2 linked regions of the Drosophila melanogaster genome follow. The protein of the gene in region 2 interacts with the protein of the main gene of each other region in a pairwise test. Each region holds a gene or a part of one and is shown on either strand. Other genes may lie near its edges. The genes, in order: kst and bbg.

Region 1 (5,006 bases), about 11 Mb from region 2:
TGCATATTTATAGGAATTTAAATAGTATTGTCAAAATCATAAATTATATATACATTTATAATTTATGTATGGCAGATTATCGTTTTTAATAGTTCATAAGAAGGCAGTAAGCTAACTTTATTCCTATTCCCCGACAAACCGTTTGCTTTAATAGACTCGTTCCGAGTTATTCTGGTACATTAATGTTTAGTAGGGAGCTACGCCTTTTGGTTCTCCTAATGGCGACTGGAAATTCCAAGAGTCGTGCTCCGCTAAACGCTTCAATGAGTCCCCAAGGGATCCTCCATCGAATGCTCGCTTGTGCGTAAATCTTTCGCTCGGGCTTCTTTCAAGCCTAAACACCAATTAAAATGCACTCAATACCCGTGTCACACACAAAAGACAAGCCCGAAAAACAAATGAAATACGAAATGGAATGAAATGAAATGGTGAAAAGTAAAACCGAAAACTTTCACTGCTTCGCCGCTTAAGAAACAAAGTGAATTAGTTGGACAGTGGGACAATTTGATGCGTTTTAATTGCTTCTAATTAGATTAGACCAGAGGCACCTGACTAGCCAGAAGATTCGAAACTATGTCGCACGCTAAGCTCCCACTTTGCTCAATTAAAATCAAATGCGCACGAGAGGTGCAAAGAAAGTACACATGTATAGTATGAGCGCGGCAGTGGAAAATGTGCCAAGCGCAACAAAGTGAAGTGAAGTCAAGGAAAAAATGCATTAGAAAGTATGCAAATATTTCAGATATTGCCAAGAAAACGCGGTGCCCAGGCTAGGTAATTAAATATATACTTTTTCGCCATGTCTTGACGTCGCCTCACACTTCCCGCTTCCCCGAGATCCGAAATCCCGACTCCAACAGCCAGATCCGTGCACCTCATATGGCAAACAAAGCACGCAATGGCCACGCGCAGCTGCGCAGGCGCGACTTGCACTTTCTACAAATGCGTAGAGAGCTTTACACTCTCCAGTCTTCAGTCTTCGGTCTTTGGTCTTCCAGCAACTGCAACGCCTTCACTCCCTTCACTCGCCGCCATTTATGTGGCATATCTCACCTTGGTGTGCAAGAATGCCAGACTCTTGTTGACATTTTCGATTTTATGGACGCGCATGCGTCCGCTGTTCGGCTTGCCCAGTTTCTCCGACGATATGATCTCCAGCAGCTTCAGCAGCTTGATGCCATCGGCCAGGTCTGTGAATAGGTCTTCGACCTCCATTTTGGCCTACAAAGAAGACGATAAGCCCAAATGTGAGTTGCATTCATAAATTGGTGGGGCCATAAAAGTTTCTTCCAATCAAAATTTCAAGTGAATGTATAATTTCGAATGTCATATACATATGGCGCTTTCATTTGAATACATCACTTTGATCGAGAAATTATAGTATTTAAACAATGAAAACTTTATGTGCTTAGCAAAACAAAGCATTTCTTTCATTTGTACTTTATAGTAATTAAATTACAAGTATTGGGAGTGATGAGTGACTCAAGTAGTTTACACACCTTGATCAGAAACGAGTTCATCCATTTTGTGAATGTCTTCTTCTGGATGTGCAAGCGCTCCTCCTGCAGCGTTTTGATCCGCTCGTTCTCGAACTTGATGATGCCGTCCCGCTGGGTCATGTTGGCGGAGTTGCGATTGGAAGGCGTCGGTGTCTGCAGCGCGGAGTAGCCTCCCGGCTCATATTGTGATGCTAAGTGGGGGGAAGGGAGGAGGAACAAAAATCTCGGATTAGTTCGAAGTCATATAAATGCAACGCGAAACGTTTAGGCTTAGTGTTTGTTTTGATTTTTTTTCATTTTTTTTGTATTTTTTTCCAGGAAAGAGAAATGGGCAAACCACCTGACAACAGACCAAAATCAATAATGGGCATAGGGAAAATAGAGGAAAAATACGAAAGGTATGTGGCAGAGATAGGGAAAGCACGACCGTGACGTACGAACCTATTGATTTAGAGATAACGAGTTATCGCCAACATAATTGCCTCTATAAAAAAATCCCTGGCTAAAGTTAGAACCACATTCCAAGGCAGTTTATTTGTAGTCTTTCGATTATGTCAAACGTAATTCCTAATTTTAAATCATTCCATCAGTGGGTTCCCATAATGTCAAAGATTACCAACGGGTATTTCAAACGAAGAACCAACAATCACTTTTTATTCGAACGCCTCATCACGTACTTTTGTTTTCTAGACCCGTTAAGATAAGCCATGTGTCGATTGGCGTTTCACATTTAGATCTTAGCTGAACAAAATTGTGAACACCTTTTTGAGTAAGCTTGATAGTGAATTTTAAAATATAGTGAAAGATTTTTAAGATGTAGAAATTAGCAATCTGTTGCTTTATTTCAAGTAACTTTACCTCATGAAAGAGTAAGGTATCTTTAAATTTCTTTTGCTAACAAGTGTAAGATAATTTCAACTCTACCAACTATAAACAAACCAAGCTGTGACCAACTTTCCAACCCAGTAGATATACCCCCAGCTAGCGTATCGAAATCAAAACAGTCGCTGCCCAGCGATAGTGGTTCTGCGAGCTTATCTGTCGACTGCCAAAATTACTTCATACCTATGGAAAATGCTTCACGACTTTGTTACTTTTTTTTTATCAACGGTTCGTTTTACGTAATACTGGACAAGAGAATATGTTAAAAAGTGAACAAAATTGGAGCGGAAACTGCAGAAAGCGAAACCATTTTTCTAGGCCGTTGACTCATTTGCCAAATATTTGCGCTCTTATCAACCAAATATGAAGTTCCACCCAACTGAGATAGATAAGAGCAGGTTACTTTCGTTTCGGGATTGTATAATGATCGCGAGCTTCCAGGGGAAAAGTTCAAGTTCAGAAACCTACCCAACGATTGGCGTTCGTAGGATATATATCGGCGATACTCGTTGCGCGAGAAATTCGAGCGCAGAACACTATTGTACTCCATGGCCTTTGATCAGTGATTTCTAGGGTGTTTCTCAAGATATCCGGGCTTTCAGCACCGAGTGCCGTTCCTTAAAGCTAATCTTTCGTTTTTTATTTCTATTTTGTATTTCGACACTAAGTTTCGTTCCTACGGTCAGATGTTCGCAGAGCCCGCGCCGTTTGGTCACTAAAAACAATGTGTGCCCAACATTTTGCACGCCCCAAAAATGTAGAGTGGGGGAAAGCTTCCTCCCCCTCTTGGCTCTGTTTATCAGATGAATTAAAAGCCAAATGCCAAGAGTGGCAACAAAAATGCTTCAACTGGCCTATGGTGAATTCCCTTTATCGCACGAGCTGATAGCAGTATGAGAAAACGGTTAAGGTATCTGAAAATCCTTGCCTTGACAAACAGCCAATAGACCCTGTCGGCTTATCTTATCGGTCCATAAATCCCGCATACCTCGGACATATGTTTTTCGGAATAAATACATATATATAGAGGGGAATGCACTTCCAATATCAAGTTATTTATGGCGCCCTATCAGATTCCGCAGACTAATGAATGGGCCATTTAGAATAGCTGCCAAATTCGATCATTCCCAATGACATCATGCCAAAGAGTTATAATCTGCTGTCTACTCGGGTCGGGTGTCATAACTCCGCTAATAGATCATTTACTATACATATGTGCCGCCAATGGCGTTGAGGTCACCTGGAAGGCATTCGCGGCTAATTGGCAAACAGAACACTTCGCTTTCGCAAATAGAAAAATCAATTAAAAAGAGGTGAAAACTAAACAATAAAAAACCAACAACACCAGTGTGACAATAAACTTTACCATACCGCGATAACGTTCGACGCTTATCATTATCGAGTGGCAAACAAAACCTAGAAAATGCAGAGTGCGGCATAACTTTAGGCTTAGCAGGAAAAGCAATTAAAACTGTGCCTCCTTGATCCCCAAAATAGAACGCATCCCCCAACTCACATACAGCTGTCTTTGGCCATAAACTATTTATACAACTAAAGTCGCCGGAAAAGGACGGCAGAGGCAAAGTCAGGGGCAAATGCGAACCGAGGCTCGAATTCCGGGCATCCTGTTTACTTCAATTGTGATACAACATGGTAGCACAGCACATGCGCGGCAGCTGGGAGCAGGAACACTCGGATTCCGCGCCTCTTTCTATTTATAAACCACCACACTTCACTCATCGCAAACACTTTGAAAACGATTTTTATAGATTTTCAACTTCTTCGGTGTTCTCTAGATCTTGTGTGTTCCACATACACGGTTAGCTAATGAACAAGGCGTGCAACAACCTCGGAGTTGTGTAAGAATTTGCATAAATCAATAAACATTTAGCATTTTGTATGCTTAATTTTTATGGCCCATACGCTAAGTCACACATATCATTTAGCAAATCCCGAATTAAATGATACTTTAAAGTATATCAAAAAGAAGTTAGGCATCTTTTTTTGGCAACCTTTTTCTACTCAGATAACATCCGAGGTAGTTACCGATTTTAATTACTTTTGCGTGAGTGATGGCATATGTCTGATAAAAGCGTAGTTTTTCAGCCATCTCCGCTTTGAACCGAAAATAATGAGACCTATAGCTCGGCAAATTAGGGAATTGGTGGTCTTTGTTGTCAAAAATTTCTACGCATAAAATTACCTCATCAGTGGCTGGAAATTAAAATTCAGTTTTGGCCTCAGTCGAAAAGAAGAATACAGATTGACACAACACAACAAGTAGAAACCCACAGTGATATAAATTCTTTTGTTTGTGCCTGGCATGCTAAACAATTTTTTAAAATCAACGAGAGAAAATAACAAACAATTTCAAAGAGAAAACAGCTAAGCTGGAGACGAAAGAGCCACAGACTTGGATTTAATTTAAACAATAGATCTAAACTGGAAATGATCTATAGAGTTACGTTTTTATTCTGCTAAAGTTGAACAGAGACTTATGATACTCTTAACTTAATATGAGATAGATAGATGAACAGAAATATATCTATCTTCACTCTTTTCTCATCAATAAATTCAAATATTACCCCAACTCCATTAAAAGCCAAATTATTGGGTGGAGCTTCG
Region 2 (5,252 bases):
TAACAACAATGGCAAAGGCTCGCGGAATGTTGAATGAACTAAACCGAAACGGTTAACAGATTAAATTATTTAAACGTGCCCGTATTGCATGCCAAAATATGCAAAGCAAAAAGATATCACAACTGTAAATAAACAAATCGAAAAGCCGAGCTGTGAAAAATGAATCATCGAACAAGTTTCAGGTTGAGAATATCTTTTAGATCCGAGATGAGCTCACTACCCAGGGCGATGAATGCCGTTAATAGACATCGCAAACGAGTTAACAAATGGATATGCAAAAATAAATAAAAACTAAAACGGGCATAGATTATTAAAATCAATTTGATCTTACCTTTTTCGCTGTATGATGAGAGGATGCAGTTTGTTCGTTTGATTTTTGGACACTTGCACAGATGGCAGATAAAAACATTTGCAAGTTTTTTGCACAATCACCTATTTATATTTATCTTGAATTTGCTGGCATATTTCACTTTAGTTTAATTAGTTTATTGCACTAAAAATCAGGTGGAACTTTTGGTTAGAGTTTTGAAAGCTTTCCCCTTACCCAGTCCCACTGTGATCAATAAAATTATATTTTTCATCGGTTTCACTACGGGCTAGATGAAAAATCATTTACCCATCTTGAGGTCTTCTTTTTTACATTTGGCTTTTCCAACCAGTCATAAGTCAGGCCAAGACTTTCAATTAAGCGGCTTAAAGACAAACAACGGCAAACGAAAATCGTGTATGTCGGTGGGTAATAGAGAAAAGATGCTTATGAGCCGTATGTAAAGAGTATCTATGTATCTTTCCGTCTTCTTTCTCTTTGGTAAAAGTGTAAAAATTACGCTACGACTTGCGCTTTCACAAAACTAACAAAAAAGCGAAGCAGAGATTTTTTCTTCTTTCCGTCGTTGATTTATGCATTGCGTTTGCGATGAGGATGAAAAGATACGTAGATACATTGCTTGGAAAACATCCACACACGACTCGAACGGCAGGGCGACTGGCTGATTTCGGGTACTCCTATACCTTAAGTTCCGGGTTGAATGCGCAAAAAAAAACTCACTAGGTTTTGCATTTTTTATTTTTACTGATGCTTAAATTTAAATTGCCTTTCGATTTAAAATAAATTAAAGTACACGCACAGTTGCGCAGCAACAATGGAAAACCAATGTGTGTGAAAGTACAAGAAGCAACGTGGAAAACATCGCCCATTTGGAAACGGAAAATTGTCAACGCACATTGAACTTGACAGACGAAAGAGAGCGCCTATCTAGCGACATAGAGAAAGAGAAAGATGGGGAGAGTGTGCGGCACATGCCTCAATTTACAGTTAACCGCGGCAGACATCCACAAGATGCAAAACTCCAAAGATACTTTCGGCCAGCGGAATGCGAATCGCGAACGGCAAACTGCGAATTGCACTTGCCGCGGCAACTTTTTCACCCGAACACGAAAAAACCACGATCTGCACGCAGAAAAAGTAGTGATAAGATGTAAGAGCGAGAAAGGTACAATAAACAAATAAATAAAATAGGGGTTTTAAGATTGCATTATAAATAAAATTTAAACCATTTTTAAATTTTTAGAACAGTTTAAGTATTAAAAGTTTGTCGTCTTGTTGTAAATTGTAAATTTCAGCATACACAGGAAGTGTCTCTATCTCGAATTTTACATTGTGGAATGACTTTCTAGCAAACAATTTCTTGCAGTGCCACAACAAAAAGTGAAGGGGCCCCAAAGCAAACGTCAAAACGCCTCAAAACGCCTCAAAAGATCAGAGTGTGTTTGTGGCGTCTCGTTTGTTGATGCGGTGGCTAATGGCTGCATATATATTCGTAAGCAAAAAAATAAAGAAATATATGGACAAGGCCTGTCTAGTCATAGCGGTACTTTGAGTGGGCCCCCAAACTGGCGAAAAAAGGAGGAGGATTGGGGTAGCTAATGACTTGGCGCCCAACTGAAGGAAGTTGCCAATTTTTGTTGCTGGTTAACTAGTCGCAACTGGTGTTGATTAGTTTTTCTTTGAATTTCTTTAGGACTCACTTCGTTTTAAATGGGCAATAAAATTCCATGAATTGTTTAAAGGAGAACCACTAACAGTCAGAATTATTAAGAAATATTAGAAGACTCGGAACCTAATTTATTAAATATAGAATCTTCCTAATGTACACAGATTTACTAAGATAATATCAATTAAAATGACCAGTTCAGAGTTTACATGTTATTTGCCGCTTATAGAAATGAGATAATCTTATGAGATCACTTACAACATGCAGTGAGCTTTTCTTTATGTTGATCGAAGGTGTTTTTAATACCATTCAAAACATTTCAAAAAGCTACATTTGCAATGTTTTATTGATTTTATCCAATACAAAGTGTAATGTTATTGTAATTGATTACTTCAATCTAGACTTTAACAGGATATTTTGAAATATTTTTAAAAACTTAATTGTATTTTCTTTAGAAAGATATATTCATTCATTTGTATATGCATATTATGTATTATATTATTATTACTTAAACCATATTTCACTTAAGTTCATATCTCATTTGTTATCACTTTTCGATTCTCCTAAATCAAACTTTCTTTTCCGCTTGCAAAAACATGACCAATCTCTTGATTACTTTTCGACTTAAGCTTCCTCTTCTCAGACTAAACCCAAATCGATCAGTTTATCGCATCCACTCTCAAGCTTTCAAAACTTATCCACATTCAATTTACTAAAACACTTTGCCGTAATCTCTATTTCAGATCCAGCTCCAGTTAGCAGACCGTTACACAAAAGCACTAACACAAAACACTTGGCAGAGCAGCTCTCCTTACGTTTAACTTTAATTACTCAATTATTTGCCAGATTTTGTTGTTTTTCACTTCTTAAGTTGGAAATTAGCCGCGAAGTACGCAGACCTAAAACGTTGGCCAACTGATTAGAGCGAGCGAGAGGCGGCGAGGGGCACAACAACGATCATATCGGATCGGATCTCGGATCGAATGGGAATCAACTATATATCGGACTACTACAGCGCGCGTGTGCGAACGCGCTACGAACCAAACTCAAACTGACGACCGAACTTCACTCCACAGAAATCCACGAGCGAGCAAACACAGCAAATACAAAAGCACAAGCAAAAGCAAAGACGGCGGCAAACAAAAAGAAAGAAGCACAAAGACAATCGAAAGACAGACTCAAAGCTTAGCGAAAGAGTCCGTTGAAGTTCTTTTGGTAAGAACCACAAAAAAGGCGGAAAGGCTTAAATAATCCTTGAACTTAATAATAACCTACATAATATAAATATCCAAGTGTATATTATCAGTCACTTTTGTTCGTTTTGTAACAATAGTCGTACATAGTGGCCTTTGGAAATACATACATAAACTTTATCAACGCGGTCTCATTGAATTATTTTTCTTATTTTAAATGTCTTTTAATTGTATATATTTTCTTATTATACTCAGTGGGAGACTGTTGATCACCTGTGCCGAAAAAAACGTATCTATAATAGAAAATGGGAGATGCTTAGATTGTAGGAAGGAAAATACGGAAATGTGTCGGATTAAAGAGACAGGATTCAGTTGTTATGAAGGAAACTTTTATAGGCGATTGGGTCGTCTACAAGGTGAATTCCCAAAAACAACCAATAAAGAGGGTGTTTGCGTTCCACCCGGACTGCATATCGGTATAAGAAGCATTTGAATAGTAATAAAAGACTAATTTTTTAATTTTACAGATACTATGAATGCCAAAGTCTGCTGCGTTTGGTCACCAGAAATCGGTTGTCAAATCTTATTAACTGAAGATCACCAGGGTGAATTTTGCTTCACTTGCAGAGTGAAATATAAAATGGAATACAAAGGCCTAATTTCCTGTCCGTGCGTAAAAAGTGAAGGATTGGGCCAACCCCATGTGAAATCATGGCAGAACTTTATTTTCACATATTTACTCATAAAATTATCCAGTTTTACCATGGGGCTATAACTTATAAATTTAAAATGTACATATAATTGAAAATTGTTATATATTTTACAGAGAGTTCTAAATACAATAAAGCTTTAGATTAAAATTTGTTTTATTGTGTAAAAATAGAAAACAAATCACAAATACTATGCAAAAATATGAGGATTTTACAAATGAATTTATTATTTTTTCAAAATATTTACAACTAATGTTATCAATATGAAATTAATATTAATAATTAATATTTTATTCACAACGAAGGCAATGGCATTAAAATAATCTCACCTGATACCTCGTATGCAGATGGTTCGAGTCCACGCTCAGGCGCCACCAAAGTTTTGCACCAAGGTTGCAGTCCATAGCCGAAGATTTTGACATGAGTGTGGCCAACTATCCTCAATCCGCTAGTTACACCTCTCCACGGCAAAACCATTAAGGCGTTTTGGTATTCGTGAGAAATCGCTGCACCTCCGTGAGCCCCCCCTCATTCTTTGAATCCTCGCCAACGAGCCGCTAACGTTGCTGACGAATAGTAAGTGCGAAAATTCCGAGCGAAAATTGCATAAGTTTTGTAAAATCGAAATCAAAGTAGCCGAGCGGTGCTCTATCGCTCCCTTAACATACACTAAATTTACGTGGTTGCTTAAAATCCTTCGCTTTTCGGGTAAATTTGGTGTCGTAAGTCCGGGTGCTCGGAATTCGAGGCACGCCGTTATGTAACCTACAAAAGCGAAAAGCAGCTGATTACCCAGCTATATATATAATTAGATAAAGCACATGTCGCCTCCGAGGTACATATATACGTAACTAATGGATGGTCTCTCTACTTTCAGCCGACCCCAGAACAAGAACAGAATCAAGATGTTCTCCAGCTTCTTTGAAACTGCCCGGAACTCGCCATTCCGCACCCCCATGTCGATGGCAAGATGCGATGCCGCCGCCCCAGTGGTGGAACCCCAGCCGGTTGAGGGTCGCCAGATCGCCGCCGCCGCTACCCCGGTGGCCAACCAGCAGGATTCGTGCGAATTCGGCAGCACCAAGTACTTCGCTCTGTGCGGAATTGGTGGCATTCTCAGCTGCGGCACCACCCACACCTTCGTGGTCCCACTGGATCTGGTGAAGTGCCGTCTGCAGGTCGACCAGGCCAAGTACAAGAATCTGGTGCACGGATTCAAGGTCACCGTGGCGGAGGAGGGCGCCCGCGGACTGGCTAAGGGCTGGTTCCCCACTCTGCTCGGCTACTCGGCACAGGTGAGATTGGGCTTCACTTTATGGGTTGCATAATCGTCTGGAGGCGAATTATATGCTCGT

What was found.
Region 1: the proteins of bbg (region 2) and kst interact in a two-hybrid assay, tested with the Drosophila melanogaster proteins (one study listed by BioGRID).

Annotation. Positions count from the first base shown.
Region 1 is NT_037436.4:3,348,180-3,353,185, reverse strand, and holds the start of kst (karst), read right to left. Parts: upstream 3,079-5,006; 5' UTR 2,932-3,078; coding exon 2,850-2,931; intron 1,691-2,849; coding exon 1,500-1,690; intron 1,222-1,499; coding exon 1,054-1,221; intron 1-1,053.
Region 2 is NT_037436.4:14,533,230-14,538,481, forward strand, and holds the start of bbg (big bang), read right to left. Parts: upstream 3,048-5,252; 5' UTR 2,826-3,047; exon of another isoform or gene 2,810-2,825; intron 494-2,809; 5' UTR 332-493; intron 1-331. Other genes in the region: CG43246 (uncharacterized protein), read left to right, coding at 3,405-3,663, 3,715-3,962; Mpcp2 (mitochondrial phosphate carrier protein 2), read left to right, coding at 4,803-5,192.